2 linked regions of the Struthio camelus genome follow. The protein of the gene in region 2 purifies or fractionates together with the protein of the main gene of each other region. This does not show direct contact. Links are inferred from orthologs where the notes say so. Each region holds a gene or a part of one and is shown on either strand. Other genes may lie near its edges. The genes, in order: POP7 and RPP30.

Region 1 (7,117 bases), on a different chromosome or scaffold from region 2:
CCCCACCTGCTCCTCCTCGGTGAGGGGCAGCAGGGCCAGCGGCGGCAGCGGCTCCTCCTGGGCGATGGCGCCCAACTCCCGCTCCCGCATCTCCTCCGGCGCCTGCGGGGGGGCACGGGGGGGGCATGTGGGGGGGGGACACGGGGGGGGGGGGGCGACCCGGCCGCCCCCTGCCGCCCCCGGGTCAGTCGGACCCCCCCAACCGCCCGCAGGGACAGCAGCAGCCCCCAAACCGCCCCCGGGGTGACGGGACCCCCCCAAACCGCCCCCAGGTCAGCCGGACCCCCCCAAACCGCCCCCAAACCGCCCCCGGGGTGACGGGACCCCCCCCAAACCGCCCCCAGGTCAGCCGGACCCCCCCAAACCGCCCCCAAACCGCCCCCTGGGGTGACGGGACCCCCCCCAAACTGCCCTCAAGGGTGACAGGACCCCCCCAAACCGCCCCCAAACCGCCCCCGGGGTGACGGGACCCCCCCAAACCGCCCCCAGGTCAGCCGGACCCCCCCAAACTGCCCCCAAACCGCCCCCGGGGTGACGGGACCCCCCCAAACCGCCCCCAGGTCAGCCGGACCCCCCCAAACTGCCCCCAAACCGCCCCCTGGGGTGACGGGACCCCCCCCAAACTGCCCTCAAGGGTGACAGGACCCCCCCAAACCGCCCGCTGGGGTGACGGGATCCCCCCCAAACCGCCCCCAGGGTGACAGGACCCCCCCAAACTGCCCCCTGGGGTGACGGGACCCCCCCAAACTGCCCTCAAGGGTGACAGGACCCCCCCAAACTGCGCCCTGGGGTGACAGGACCCCCCTAAATTGCCCTCAAGGGTGACGGGACCCCCCCAAACTGCCCCCTGCGGTGACGGGACCCCCCCAAACCACCCTCAGGGGTGACAGGACCCCCCGGCTGCCCCCTGGGGTGACGGGACCCCCCCCCGGAGGGTGACGGGACCCCCCCGCGGGCGCCCACCTTGCTGCCCTGGACGTAGAGCGCCAGCATCTCCTCGCGCCCGTAGCGGTGCTCGGCCCGCCGGGGGGGGGGCGCCGGGGAGGGCGGCGGCGAGGCCGGGCCCCCCCCCGCCAGCGCCCGCAGCCTGCCGCACCCCGTCACCGCCTGCCCCACGGCGGGACCCCCACGGCCGCACCCCCCCACGGCGGGACCCCCCCACGGCCGCACCTCCCCACGGCGGGACCCCCCCCACGGCCGCACCCCGTCACCGCCTGCCCCACGGCGGGACCCCCACGGCGGGACCCCCCACGGCCGCACCCCCCCACGGCGGGACCCCCCCCACGGCCGCACCCCGTCACCGCCTGCCCCACGGCGGGACCCCCACGGCGGGACCCCCCACGGCCGCACCCCCCCACGGCGGGACCCCCCCCACGGCCGCACCCCGTCACCGCCTGCCCCACGGCGGGACCCCCACGGCGGGACCCCCCCATGGCCGCACCTCCCCACGGCGGGACCCCCCACGGTGGGACCCCCCCCCATGGCCGCACCCCGTCACCGCCTGCCCCACGGCGGGACCCCCCCATGGCCGCACCCCCCCCACCCACAGCGGGACCCCCCCACGGCCGCACCCGCACCCCACGGCCGCACCCCCTCCACGGCGGGACCCCCGTCACCGCCTGCCCCACGGCGGCACCCGCGCCCCACGCAGCCCCGAGTGTCCCCCCGGCCCCACGGCTGCCCCAAGCGCCGCCTCCCTCCCGTCCCCGTCCCGTCCCGTCCCCGTCCCCGTCCCGTCCCCGTCCCCCTCCCGTCCCCCTCCCCACCCCGTCCCCCTCCCCTGTCCCCGTCCCCCTCCCCACCCCGTCCCCCTCCCCTGTCCCCGTCCCGCACTCACCACTCCGGCCCGAAGTTGAGCGTTTCGGCCGCCATCGCCGGGGTCTCGATCGGCTCCTGCACGGCCCTGGGGGGAGGCGAGGGGGTCGGCGGGAGCCCGGGACCCCCCCGACCACCCCCGGGACCCCCTGACCGCCCCCCAACTACCCTGAGCCCCCCCCGACTGCCCTGGGACCCCCCGACTGCCCTGCAACTACCCCTAGACCCCCCCAACTGCCCCTGGAACCCCCCAACTGCCCCCCAACTACTCCGCGACCCCCCCGAGTGCCCCCTGACTACGCCACGACCCCCTTGGGACCCCCAACTGCCCCGGGACCCCCAACCGGCCCCCCCAGGCTCACCCCGAGGCGGCTCCGGCCCGGCCGGGGGCACCGGGGCTCCGCGGGGGGCAGGGACCCGGCACCGGGCTCCGGCGGCACCTGCGGGAGGGACCCAGGCGTCCGGGGGGGCCCAGGCGTCCGGGACAGGGGACCCAGGCGTCCGGGGGGGCCCAGGCGTCCGGGACAGGGGACCCAGGCGTCCGGGGGGGGGACCCAGGCGTCCGGGGGGGCCCAGGCGTCCGGGACAGGGGACCCAGGCGTCCGGGGGGGCCGAGGCGTCCGGGGGGGGGACCCAGGCGTCCAGGCTTGCTCCAAGCCCCGCACTCCCACCTCCCCGTCCCGGACGCCTGGGTTCTCCGTGGGGGGGGGAGGGGGGTGTTGGGGGTCACGACCCAGGGGTCGCCATGGGGATGCGGGGGGGGGGGTTGACCCAGAGTCACCATGGCAACCGGGGGGGTCTCTCGAGCCGCCGTGGCGACAGGCCCAAGGGCAGCGGCGGGCTGGGGGGGCGCCTCCATGGCAACGGCTGCGGGGGGGTTCCAGAGTCTCCATGGAAACGGGGGGTCTAAGGTCATCATGGCGACAGGTGGGGGTGCTCTAGCGTCTCCATGGAGACCGTGGGGGGGTTCCAGAGTCACCACGGAGACGGACGAGGGGGCGGGGCGCCGAGGGGGTTCTAGAGCCTCCGCGGCCAGGGCCCAAAAAGGGGGCGGTTCTAGAGTCTCCATGGCAACAGGCGGCGTGAAGGGGGGCGGGGGGGGGTTCTAGAGTCACCATGGCAACGGGCCGGGCCGGGGGCTGTAGAGCCACCGTAACAACAGGCCTGGAGGGGGGCGGCACCGGGGTCTCCATGGCGACAGGCCGGGGGGGGGCTCTAAAGTCATCATAGCAACGGGCCTGGGCGGGGGGGGGCTCCCCATGGCAACGGGCCGGGTGGGGGGGTCTCCATAGCGACGGGGGGGCGGGGCCCCGAGGGGTCTCCGCGGCGACGGGGCCCGGGAGGGGGAGGGGGGAATCCGGGGTCTCCATGGCGACGGGGCCCGTCCCGTCCCGCCCCGCTCCCGCGCCCCCCGCCCCCCCCTTACCGGCGGCCGGGGTGGGCGGGGCCGGGGCGGCGGGGCGGGGCGGGGCCGGGCCGCGGGGGGCGGGGGGGCGGGGGGGGCTCCGGGTCTCGCGCCGCTGCCGCCGCCGCCGCCGCCGCCGCCTCGCCGCTTGTTTGTGTTTGTAACCAAGATGGCCGCCCCGCTCCGCGTCACGTGACGGGGGAGCGCGGGGGAGGAGGGGCGCGGCGTCACGTGACGCCGGAGCGCGGGGGAGGAGGGGGCGCGGCGCGGCGTCACGTGACGCCGGAGCGCGGAAGGCAGGAGGGCGCCCCGCCCCCCGCCGTGACGTCGCCGCCCCGCCCGCCTCCCGGCCCAGGCCCCGCCCTCCGACGGCGGCCGTGACGTCAGCGCGGGCGCGATGACGCCAGAGCGGTGCGGGGGGTGGGGGGGGGCGCAGCGGCGTCACCGGCGCGCGCGCGCGACCGGGGGGGGGGGGCCCTTCTCCGGCGTGACGTCACCGCCGGCGTCAGCGCGCAGCGCCGGGTCAGGGGTCAGCGGCGGGCTCCCAGGGACCCAGGCGTCCGGCGGGGGGCGGGGCCAGCGGCGGGGCCACGCCCCCGGAAGCGGAAGCGGCGGCGGCGGCGGGGACGCGCCGAGGTGCGGGGCGGGGGGGGCGGCTTGGGGGTCCCAAGGGCAGGTTGGGGGTTTTAAGGGCATCTTAGGGGTCTCTGGGGGCGGATTGCGGGTCTCGGGGGCAGGTTGGGGGTCTCGGGGGCGGCTTGGGGGTCCCTGGGGGCAGGTTGGGGGTCCCTGGGAGCGGCTTGGGGGTCCCTCAGGGCGGATTGGGGGTCCCAAGGGCAGGTTGGGGGTTTTAAGGGCATCTTAGGAGACTCGAGGGCAGGTTGGGGGTCTCAGGGGCGGATTGGGGGTCCCTGGGGCAGGTTGGGGGTCTCGGGGGCAGATGAGAGGTCTCTGGGGGTGGGTTGGGGGTCTCAGGAGCAGATGAGAGATCTCTGGGGGTGGGTTGGCGGTCCCTGGGGGCAGACTGGGGGTCCTGGGGGTGGATTGGGGGTCCCAGGGAGCAGACTGGGGGTCCTGGGGGTGGTTTGGGGGTCCCAGGGATCAGACTGGGGGTCCTGGGGCTGGTTTGGGGGTCCCAGGGAGCAGACTGGGGGTCCCGGGAGCAGACTGGGGGGCCCTCAGGGCAGACTGGGGGTCCTGGGGGTGGATTGGGGGTCCCAGGGAGCAGACTGGGGGTCCCAGGGAGCAGACTGGGGGTCCTTGGGGCAGAGTGGGGGTCCCTCAGGGCAGATTGGGGGTCCCAGGGCTCAGACTGGGGGTCCTGGGGGCAGAGTGGGGGTCCCTCAGGGCAGACTGGGGGTCCTGGGGGTGGATTGGGGGTCCCAGGGAGCAGACTGGGGGTCCTGGGGGCAGAGTGGGGGTCCCTCAGGGCAGACTGGGGGTCCCTGGGGCAGACTGGGGGTCCTGGGGGTGGTTTGGGGGTCCCAGGGAGCAGACTGGGGGTCCTGGGGGCAGACTGGGGTTCCTGGGGCAGATTGGGGGTCCCAGGGAGCAGACTGGGGGTCCCTGGGGCAGACTGGGGGTCCCTCAGGGCAGATTGGGGGCCCCAGGGAGCAGACTGGGGGTCCTGGGGGTGGTTTGGGGGTCCTGAGGCTGGTTTGGGGGTCCCAGGGAGCAGAATGGGGGTCCTGGGGGTGGACTGGGGGTCCCAGGGAGCAGACTGGGGGTCCTTGGGGCAGACTGGGGGTCCTGGGGGTGGTTTGGGGGTCCTAGGGAGCAGACTGGGGGTCCTGGGGGTGGTTTGGGGGTCCCAGGGATCAGACTGGGGGTCCTGGGGGCAGAGTGGGGATCCCTCAGGGCAGACTGGGGGTCCTGGGGGTGGTTTGGGGGTCCCAGGGAGCAGACTGGGGGTCCCTGGGGGCAGACTGGGGGTCCTGGGGGTGGTTTGGGGGTCCCAGGGAGCAGACTGGGGGTCCTGGGGGCAGACTGGGGGTCCTGGGGGTGATTTGGGGGTCCCAGGGAGCAGACTGGAGGTCCTGGGGGTGATTTGGGGGTCCTAGGGAGCAGACTGGGGGTCCTGGGGGCAGACTGGGGGTCCCTGGGGCAGATTGGGGGTCCCAGGGAGCAGACTGGGGGTCCTGGGGGTGGTTTGGGGGTCCCAGGGAGCAGACTGGGGGTCCTGAGGATGGATTGGGGGTCCCAGGGAGCAGACTGGGGGTCCTGGGGGCAGACTGGGGGTCCTGGGGGTGGTTTGGGGGTCCCAGGGAGCAGACTGGGGGTCCTGGGGGCAGACTGGGGGTCCTGGGGGTGATTTGGGGGTCCCAGGGAGCAGACTGGGGGTCCTGGGGGTGGTTTGGGGGTCCCAGGGAGCAGACTGGGGGTCCCAGGGAGCAGACTGGGGGACCTTGGGGCAGACTGGGGGTCCTGGGGGTGGTTTGGGGGTCCCGGGAGCAGACTGGGGGTCCCTGGGGCAGACTGGGGGTCCCAGGGAGCAGACTGGGGGTCCCGGGGCAGCTGCGCCCCCGCCGGGGGTCCGGCCGCCCCCTCACGCCCCATCTCCCCCCCCCCCCCCCGCAGCAGCAGGATGTCGGAGGCGCCGGCGGGAGCGTCGCAGCCGCAGCCGCAGCCGAGGGCCGCGCAGGCGCCGCGGCCTCGCCGGGGCCCGGCCCCCCGCCCCCCGCCGGCGCCGCCCGGGGCCCCCCCCGGCGCCGACGTCTTCGTCAACATGCGCACGGACTTCCGGGCCCAGCTGCGGCGCTGCCAGCGCCTGCTGGCGCCCGGCGCCCGCCCCGAGATCCGCCTGCACGGCCTGGGGCTGGCCGTCACCCGCGCCATCAACCTGGCGCTGCAGCTGCAGGCGGCGGCGCCCGGCGCCCTCCGCCTCCACGCCAGCACCTCCACCGTGGCCCTGCCCGGCCCCGGCCCCGGCCCCGGCGCCCTGGCCCGCGCCCGCCACAACTCCGCCATCCACATCCGCGTCTGCCGCCACGGCCCCCGCCCCTGAGCCCGCCCCGGCGCCTGCCGAGGCTCCGGCGCCTGCCGCCGGCACCGTCTGAGCTGCCGCCGGCACCGCGGGGACGGTCTGAGCTGCCGCCGGCACGTTGTGAGCTACTCCGGCACCGCCGGGACGTTGTGAGCTGCCGCCAGGACGTTGTGAGCTGCTCCGGCGCCGCCGGGACATTGTGAGCTGCCGCCGGCACGGTCTGGGCTGCTCCGGCACCACCGGGACGGTCCGAGCTGCCACCGGGACCGCCGGGACGTTGTGAGCTGCCACGGGGACAATCTGAGCTGCTCCGGCACCACCGGGACGGTCCGAGCTGCCACCAGGACCGCCGGGACGTTGTGAGCTGCCACGGGGACGTTGTGAGCTGCCACGGGGACATTGTGAGCTGCCACCGGCGTCGCCGGGACGTTGTGAGCTGCCACGGGGACAATCTGAGCTGCTCCGGCACCGCCGGGACGTTGTGAGCTGCTCCGGCACCACCGGGACATTGTGAGCTGCCGCCGGGACGTTGTGAGCTGCTCCGGCACCGCCGGGACGTTGTGAGCTGCCGCCGGGACGTTGTGAGCTGCCGCCGGGACGTGGTGAGCTGCTCCGGCGCCGCCGGGACGTTGTGAGCTGCTCCGGCACCGCCGGGACGTTGTGAGCTGCCGCCGGGACGTTGTGAGCTGCCGCCGGGACGTTGTGAGCTGCTCCGGCGCCGCCGGGACGTTGTGAGCTGCCGCCGGGACATTGTGAGCTGCCGCCGGGACAGTCTGAGTTGCTCCGGCACCGCCGGGACGTTGTGAGCTGCTGCCGGGACGTTGTGAGCTGCCGCCGGGACGTTGTGAGCTGCTCCGGCGCCGCCGGGACGTTGTGAGCTGCTCCGGCGCCGCCGGGACGTTGTGAGCTGCCGC
Region 2 (9,227 bases):
GATAGCAAACACGTTTTGGGGAAGCTGTCAGAGCTTGGAAAGTTAAACAGTTCAAGACAACTTTTCTAAATGCTGATAACTTCAACAAACTGATGTTTGATGCTTGCTCTCAGTTTCAGTACAAGACATAAAGGACACCACAAAGCAAGCGCATACAACTCCAATGACAAGGCAGATGTTTCAGACCTTAACCAGCCACCTTAACGCCTTGTGCCCTCCTGCAATCCCTCATAACTTTTTTAGGTTGTGAACTAACCAAGGAGCCAATGCTGTTTAATTAGTCCCATGACACACAGGCCTGTAAAAAAACAGGAAGTGAAATCAAAAACATAACACGTACTTGGACTAGCCCAAAGCACTTAACATTATTATAGCACTGGCACTACCAATAAAAAAAAAAAAACAGAGATGATTGTACTTACATGGAACAGTTTCTCAGTCTTAGGAAATACTGCTATGATGTCATATAACCTTATATTTGTAGATGTTGATCTCTACAAAAGGAAGAAACAATTAGTACTTTGACTTCTGGCAGATGCCAAACATATGCACAATGATTACGACCAAAGTAACGAGAAGAAATATTACTTTTCCATTTTCTAGTACTAAAGCAAAGCCAATAATCATCCAATGAGTCTAACAATTTTACACGGTAGGTCTCTGATGTGAGCAGTTCTCTGAGGTCATTTTGAAGCTTGTCCCATCCACCTAGTTAAGCACTCCCACTTTTCGACTTAGTAATGTCAAAAATTGCAGGGCTTTCTCATGGCATTCTCATCAGGAATTTTAGATTCTTGCATTCTAGATTCAAGTCTGCATCTCTTCATGATCACATTACCTTCTAAAGATGCAGTCTGAGAAAATCAGTGATAAGTGTCCTATGAAATCCATGAACTTCTTCCCAAAGAAAGAATGAAACTTTGGAAGTTTTGCAGGGGAGAGGAAACAGAATTCAGAAAATTAATACACTGAATATACTTACCAAGAGATTACAATGGGAAGGATCAGAAACAACAAGTGTTAGCCGGTTTAAGACTTTAATTCGTTTAGATGTCCCCTACAAAGAAGAAATAATACAAAAGTCTTTAAGAGCTGCAAAGCAAAAATTTATGGTGAATTTCATCCTGTTTGCTTTACAGAGAAAATGGTGCCTTGCTCATATGCTTGCCTATACTAATTTTCTAGAAGTCTGTAGTTACATTTTATTTTTATTGTTTTACAGTGATCTGTTCAGTATCACATCCGCCCTTCAGAAAGAAGGACTTACAGCATTTCTTTGAGAAAGGGTGAACTGAAAGAAATACTTAAATAAATAGACAGAAAAAATGAGCACGTTTTGTTAATTCCACTATGCTTGCCCAGGCTGGCTACAAGTGTGAGCAAAAGTAACTCCTGAATTAACATGTCAGTGATTTGAAATATAGCCTTGGTTTATTATATTAAGATCTTGCTCCAACAAAACCAGGAAGCCATTTCCAGAACTCAAGACTCTTTTGTTTCAAGTGCTACACTATAATTATTCAACTACAAGAAGCTTAAATCCACATCAAACAACTTTTAAAATCATTTATAAAATTAAAAACTAGAGTGTCATCTAAAGCGAGTGCCTAATGCTTCTAATGTTGGGGGTTTTAACAATTAAGCAATGGAAAATTTTCTCTTTTTTGATTAACATGTAATACACAAAATTGCATACACTAACACACCAAGGTAAAAACATAAAACTTAGAATATGTAGGTGGAATGTAGATTGACATACTTGTACAACAGGCAAAGATGGAAACAACTCTGAAGGAGATACTGGCTTGACGATTTCCTTAAAAGGGAATCAAAGAAAGAAAATTATTCAAAATATAATGGATTGCATTTAGAATATAAACAAAGGTTGTTTTCATAGAAAAAAAACTATTTACCAAGGACAGTTTATGGACCATACTAAATATCAACCGCAATGCAGTAATACTGAATTATACAATTGGAGTTTTGTCACAAACGGAGGCATTTGTATATACGTCTAGACAAGCGTTCTAAAGAGAAAACTATTTGGGAACATGTAATAAGCCACGTAGTTTTACAAAATAAAACATACTAAGAACAAATACCCCAACAAAAGTTACCTGTTTCTTTTCTTTAAAATCGATGACATGATTAAGAGCAACTGTCGAATATCCCACTAGAAAAGGCAAACAGGTTGTAAGAATGTTTTGTCCAGTAAACTAATAGAAACAAATCCAAACAGAAGCCTGATAAGCTCAGCGCATAAATGTCTCAAAATTAATAATGATATGCATATTTTCCTTCCACATCACAATTCTCTAGCGATTAAGTCACAAAAAGAGCGTCTTAAAACACAAAATTCTGTTTGCCTTTTAACGCATCCCAGTCTTAATAACGTTTACTCAGTGGCAGAGCTTTTCAGACACAAGCGATTACTTGGGCAGGACCGTTCACATGGCCAGGGCGGAATTAGATACAGGAGACGCCAGCCCTGTGTGTCACTTAGACTTCAAGTAAACTGGCAAGTCTATGATGTCTTCAGGAGCGTAAGGCTAGGAATGGTTTAAGCCAATCTTCACTTCCCAATTCTGCGCATCCGCGAGGCTGCCTGAGCCTCAGGCTTACGCACCTAAGCAAGCTCGGGCAGCTTAAAAAGGAAAAAACGCATCTCTGACGTTTTTGTGAAGCTGCACCGTAAGAACGGCAACGGTGCCGCGCTAATCCCACGTGTGCACACTGCCAGATGTGAGCTTAGAGCTCTTCTAAGGGACAAGGCTGACTGAAGTTCGTTAATCTCCACTTACAGGCTGCTCGTTTCCCGCTAGGTGTCAACACAGACTTTTAAAGAACACGCTACGTCAAGCCAAAATAACTTCCCCCTGGATCAGGAGAGGCGCACAGACTGGAAAGACGTCACCATCTCGCCCACCTTCAGTAAGATTGCTGACACTGGCTCGAAGGCCACCCTTGTTAGCAAGTTAGGAAAATACGTTAGAGAGGAAACTGCTCTAACGTCAGCAAGAAAGTGCTCGAAAACTAAGAGCAAATATCAACAATTAGTCATCCAGTCAGGGTCTCCAAAGCTTTAGTCCTAGCGTCGTCCTATTAACTATTTTCTTTAAGGGACATGGTTAGTGACATTCAGGATACTTGCTAGAACTGCAGAAAACACAAAGCTGGGAGCGAGGCAATTCTCTTAGAAGGCAAGGTTTAAGCTCAAAACGGCGTGGACAAGCCAAAGAGAAGGCCTCACTCAACGGCGGGGAGGAGGAAGAGCCTACGCTGGCCAAAGACCAACCACCTGCCCCACGCTGGCTGGGGGCAACCGGACCCGCAGCAGCTCCGCGGAGCGAAGACTCAGAGTCGGGACAAGCCGGAGGCGGAAAACGAGCCCACGCGTTGGGGGGAAGACAAGCGTTACGCTGGGACAGGGACAGGGACAGACAGCTGGCAAGGCAGGAGGCAACCTGGGGAAGACCCCCAGCCTCGGCACTGCCCGCGTAGAGGGCCACAAGTCACGGGGGGCAGAGAGCAGCCGGGGGGGGGGGGAGACCCGACGAGCGCCACCTCTGCCCAAAGCCCGGCCCGCGCCGAGCCCAGCACCGCGGGCGCTTCCGCCGCCGTTCCCGCCCGCTCCCCTCCCTCCCCAACCCTCCAGCGGCCACCCGAGCCCGCTGCCGCCCCTCTCTCTCCCCGCGGGTCGCCCGGCGCAGGCACAGGCGCCGCCAGGGCCAGGGCCGCGGCCGAGCGCAGCCCCCCCCCCCCCGGCCGCCATCGCGCGGGGCCGCCCCGCTGCCGCACTCACAGCGCGCCGCGGCCTCCAGCAGGCTCTGCACGCACTTCTTGTCCGGCCCCTGCGGCACGTTCAGGTCCGCGAAGGCGGCCATGCCGCGCGCGGGGCGGGCTCCTCCTGCCGCCGCCACCCCCGCGGGCTCGGGGCAGCTGGGGCTTGTAGTCGGCCGGCGGCGCGCTGGGCGGCGCTGGGCGCAGAGCGGGGCGGACAGCCCCGCTGCACCCGCTAGGCGGAGCAGGAACCGCGCTCAACGGAAGTGCGACCGGGCGAGTCGAGCGAGGCCGCCGCTGGAGGCTGACTGCCAGGAAGTGTGCCCTTCTACTCCTTTAAAGGTCTTGGTTTTCCTATCTTAGCCAACAAAATGAGAAATAAACGCCAAAGCTGCCGTGTCAAGAGATGCTTCCCTAGACGGCAAAAGGCCTGAGGGATTATAAATCCATAAGTCGGATGCATGTTAGTTATGTGGCGCTATTGCAAAACCCACAAATCTCATTCTAAGGTTTATCAGCAGCATAGTTAAAGTACGGGTGGTAATTATCACTGCCTTTGTTCTTTTGGGTGCAGACAGCAAACTGGGTCTCTTTTCCAACTTTAAAGTAGTTTTCCAAGGCCTCCACCCGGGCTGGAGAAGCCTTTGCTTTCTTCAAGCTGGACTAAAGGTTGATGAGAGAAAGTCTGTGGGGTATCGAACTCCAAATTCTTAACTGGGGAAAGCTGCTGCTAACCAAAGGAAAAGCAGTGATGCTCCCAAATCCTCAGTCAGTCCCTGCTTACTGTAGCTTGGTGCAGTTTTCACCAGCTATGCTTTGAGACTCATAACTCATTTCTCCCCCAAAGATCCCACAATTTGCAATGGATAAGCAAGAAACAGTCGTGCCTGGCTGGCACGTTTCCGGCCTTGCAGTCTGATAAGTTACAAAGTCTAGTAACAGTGGTAAGAGAGAAATTACCAGCGGGCTGCCGTTAACTGCAGCAGGCACTCAGGGCAGCTCTGGGGTGGGAAACAGCTGCCTGCCACACCGCTGTGAAAGGAAGAAGAAAGCCCAGCTGATAGACAGCCTGTTCCTGCCACAGCTGTGGTTGCATAGGCAGCCAGTTCTTGACAACATTAGATACCAAGATATTTCAGTAAAGGAGCTCTGTTTTGGTCCATCTATGGCCGTGAGATGCTTGCCTATCAGATCAGCCAGTACTGTTTCTCTGCCAGTCATTTAAACAACTAGCAGAGCCTGAATGGTATTCTTGAGGCTTTTCTTTGATGTGTATAAACGTGGAAGAGCTCAAGATATTATTCCAGGTTTTCTTTAACTGAGTGCATGCATGATGGAGCTTCATTTATCTTAGTGAACAGAAGAAATCAATAAACATGTATCAATTATTTGGGAATAGACCTCCCAGAGTAGTGCTCAGAGACACAAAAAAGGACTAAGGAGCTTTTGTGGCTGGCACTATGTGAGTGAGACAAACCTTTTCTAGAGGCGCTTGTAATGGAGAACTCTGTTAATTTAAACAGCTCTTCACAAATCCGGCAGAACCCTATTTGTTGTAACGATTTAAAAATCTGAGTATGAAGCAACTTTCAGCACCAGGGTATCATGGATGATGTAAGCAGACCAGTGTGAAACCTTATTTTCTGCGTTACTGAGGTCTTACTACTTTTGTTTATCCCCAGTGATCTATTTAAAACATCTTTGTGGTCCTCACTGTTAAGTCATAAGCCTCCAACATGCTTCGATTTGTCTGTGTCCTGAAGCCCTTTTAGTGGAGCCCAATTTCCCTCATCGAGGTGTTCTCTCTCTCAGTATATTTGGATGCCAGGGGAGTCTTTCTGTGATTTTTGTGCAGACCAATAGGCTCTTGAATCCATCTGAGTACCCCTAACAATTCTTCTAATATGCTTTCAACCAAGGACCCTACACTGGCAACTATCAGATTATTTTGCTTTCCTTCTGCATTCAGCTCCTTTAGGGAACTAAGATACTATTGGGTACTATCTATCTCAGCAACTCAGTAACATGAATGTCGCCATCACTTTAATCATAATCTCAAATCGTTCCTTTGTAAAGGTGCATACTGAATTTTCAGAGATGGGAACTTTGCTTGAGTGATACAGAATTTTTAGCATAAATTTCACCCTGTTGGTTTGTTTTATTTTCAGATGACAGCTTGCTGCTGTCAGTATTTGCTGATCCCAAAAAGGGAAGGCATCATTGCACATTTATTTAAGTTGCACAGATGTATTTAATTTTGACAATGAAAAGAAACCCCAAAGATGTGAACGGTTACCTCTCTCTTTTACTGCTATAGAGTAGTGATGATTTATTTTCACAAAGATAAAAAAAGGCAGTAGAGAAAAATGCAGCTGTAACATCTTTGCTAGAAGTCGGACAAGAGTGTTATTTGCTAAACAGTACATGCTGGGAATAAAAATCAAGGTTTCAATAATATTTGTCCATAGAATTCTACCCAGACTGTGACAAAATACTCTAAACATCTTGGCAACATATTTCCCTGTGAGAAACATATACCTGTACTTTATTTTTTATCCCCAACATCAGGCCTTCACTTTATTGGTATCCAAAAAAGAAAATGAAAACAAAAGGAAAGAGGAAAAAACTTTTACGATAGACAAATGAAAATGACAATTTATGAAGACAGACTGGCTCAGACAAGTAAGGAGAAAAAAAGGAGATGGTAAAGAAAGGAAGAAGAACAAGAACTCATGTTTCATATTCATATGTGGTACCTTCTCGCCATGTACCCAAGATTGCAGCACCTTTAGGCCTTTATGTTAAAATGAGCAGAGCTGTTGTTTTCCAGACCTAGGTGTGTGGAGAAAAGGGCTACTGCCCAACAGTTTCTACCCTGGTGGTGAAGCTCCTGGTGCTGCACTTCTTGACCCATTTGAGTCCAAGTACTTGGAGGCAGCAAAGACCTGCTGTTTCAATAGCCCCTGGAAGTACCAAGTCCTCAGGAGAGGGGCCATTCACCAGGAATCAAGGATTTAGCAATTGTTCTTCCAACACAGATACTTTGATAGAATCATTTTGGCCTCACTAAATCGACGTGTGCTGGTGAAATTTTATTTCATTAGCTAGCTCTGACCTTACCTCTATCTAACCTTACCTCAGTAACATAGTAGCAAACAATTGGTACCATCACCCACTCTTACACGATACAACTAGAGTTTATATGAATCACAAATGCTAGAGAGATGTAACTATGTGATTACCACTATTTTTAGAAAACAATCAAACAAAAGAGTTCATTATTTTTAGAGGGGAAAATTCAAAGAAAAAGGTTCCCTCACCTTTTTTTTTTTAATTTGGAATATTTCTATATAACAAAAAGGAACATTAAAGATAAGATTTGCAAATAAAGCCCATAGGCAAATGTGAACAAACTTCTGTAACATCTTTGCTAGAAGTCGGACAAGAGTGTTATTTGCTAAACAGTACATACACAAACACAACAGTAGAAGTGATCTAACTTCACTAAGTGCACAACAAATGAGGGGCTAGGGTCTTAAGCACAGAGTCAGAGATGAACAGAAATAAGAAGAGGAGCCTTTATAGCCTTTCTACAAGTCTAAATTACTCAAAGGACAGTACGTTACTGAGCTCAGCCAGAAAATTATTGGCTGAAATTTACTGAAGTTTCGTGGTAGGTGAAAAGGTAATATCTTGTGAGGGCACAAATGTCAGCTTGTTATTTTTGACTCCCAGTCAGCCATTTGTTTAATTTCTGTATACTGTCTTGAACAGCATGTTCACATTTGTAGAAAGGGTCACTGAAGACAAAAGTAGGATGCACATTTGGAAGGATCAACTCCTAACGTAATACGTAATTAGTTTTAAATACATGGAATGGATGTAATCCCATGATATGATGATGTATGCTCTCTGCTTTCACAGATGCTGGGGGTATGAAAGACTGTGAATCCCCAAGGAAAGCACCTCACTAGATTCAGCTCAGCCCCGGGAAACTGGAATGTTATTCTAGGTGTGTCACAGTGAAAAGCTTTCAAGGAAGGATTTGTATAGAGGTATCAGCTGCTTCATCTCGCCACAGTGTCACAGATTTTCCCTCCAATCGTACAAACATCCCTTTGACTTAAATTGACTTGTCTCTAAGGAGATAAGATTTGAGAGTTAATACAAAGAGTGGTAACATATGACCTTTGAGAAGAAAAGAAAGCAGAAGATTAACTTTTAATGACTGTATGGGAATTTCAGGCACAGAACGAAAGATGAGGCTAAAATCTTCCTTTCAGGTTGAAATGGGTAAGAGTAATATGCAAATGATCCCGCATATAGTGTGCTGAGTACACTTACAGAGTCACGTTCTGGAAATACATTGAAAAGCTGTCAAGAAAAACGACTGATTTAATGAACTGTGTCAACACATTTACAGGAAGCACCAGATTATAATTTGCCTTGCCTTAGTCACATTTTAAGTAACTGAAAAATTGCTTTTACAGCAAGCATTAAACTGTACCATGTTATCAACTTTTAAGATACAAATCTATTTTGAACAAAATTTACCCAGTTCTCCTTAGCTGTACTTCAGACATTATTTAAAAAAGAATGTATTCACACAAGTAGGAGACAGTCTCCCTTCTGCGTGCTTTGCCTTAATGCTTTAACCTTTATTAAGGTTTAGCTTTATTTTGACCTGCCCTTTCTAATTTTAAAGACCTTTTTCTTCTTAATATTTGCTTAACTATGATGGAGGGCAAAGGAATCACCCTGGAAGGGCAAGCCACTTAAAGCTCAACGTTAATGAACACATTCTGAGCAATTAAACAGGGAAGTCTTTTGCTGCGAATGGACTTAGGCAACTAAGGTGAAAGCGTGACTGACTGGGAAAGCACATTCAACTTGATAATGGTTAAGGAGCTGCCCAACTAAGTCTCTCACTTCTCATGTGAAACTTACTTATTGTATTACTCAGATCAAGACTCAGATTGAGGTGTAAGGGGAAGCGAGCAATTGAACTCTCCCAAATCCTGCTCACCCTGCCTCCTGGAGCAGGTTGTGCCTGTGCTCAAATTGTGTAGGGGTAGCTGGCTCCTCTGATCTGATCCCAACCCCACAGTGTGCTGTGGACCAATGTGAAATCACATATGATGAAAACCCTGGTTTCAGGATTCAGGTGATGGTGACAGAATGGAAGATTTCATTAAAACAATAAATTCTGTGAGCCAACTATCGGAGCCTCATTTGCTGTGGATTTGTGTTGCACTAGTGCCTGGGAGAGTCAGCTGAGGTTTTTCCCAATGGCTGGGAAGGTCTTCCTTCAAAGCAGATATTATTATAACTGTATGATGTGAGCTCATACTGCAGCCTCTTTTACTGCTGGGCCACAGAAACAGTTCTTCCCTCTAGCTGGTGCTTGTTATAATGTTACCTTCAAGACCTACCCTCACTCAAGAGGT

What was found.
Region 1: the proteins of RPP30 (region 2) and POP7 purify together in Homo sapiens (co-immunoprecipitation; 4 studies listed by BioGRID and IntAct, counting the BioPlex papers as one, with this or other methods). This does not show direct contact. The link is inferred for Struthio camelus from reciprocal best matches to the Homo sapiens genes RPP30 and POP7.

Annotation. Positions count from the first base shown.
Region 1 is NW_027182637.1:11,708-18,824, forward strand, and holds POP7 (ribonuclease P protein subunit p20), read left to right. Parts: upstream 1-5,804; coding exon 5,805-6,224; downstream 6,225-7,117. UniProt on the Homo sapiens protein: Component of ribonuclease P, a ribonucleoprotein complex that generates mature tRNA molecules by cleaving their 5'-ends. Also a component of the MRP ribonuclease complex, which cleaves pre-rRNA sequences.
Region 2 is NC_090948.1:20,234,442-20,243,668, forward strand, and holds the start of RPP30 (ribonuclease P protein subunit p30), read right to left. Parts: upstream 4,030-9,227; 5' UTR 3,885-4,029; coding exon 3,803-3,884; intron 2,174-3,802; coding exon 2,118-2,173; intron 1,817-2,117; coding exon 1,760-1,816; intron 1,058-1,759; coding exon 983-1,057; intron 495-982; coding exon 423-494; intron 1-422. UniProt on the Homo sapiens protein: Component of ribonuclease P, a ribonucleoprotein complex that generates mature tRNA molecules by cleaving their 5'-ends. Also a component of the MRP ribonuclease complex, which cleaves pre-rRNA sequences.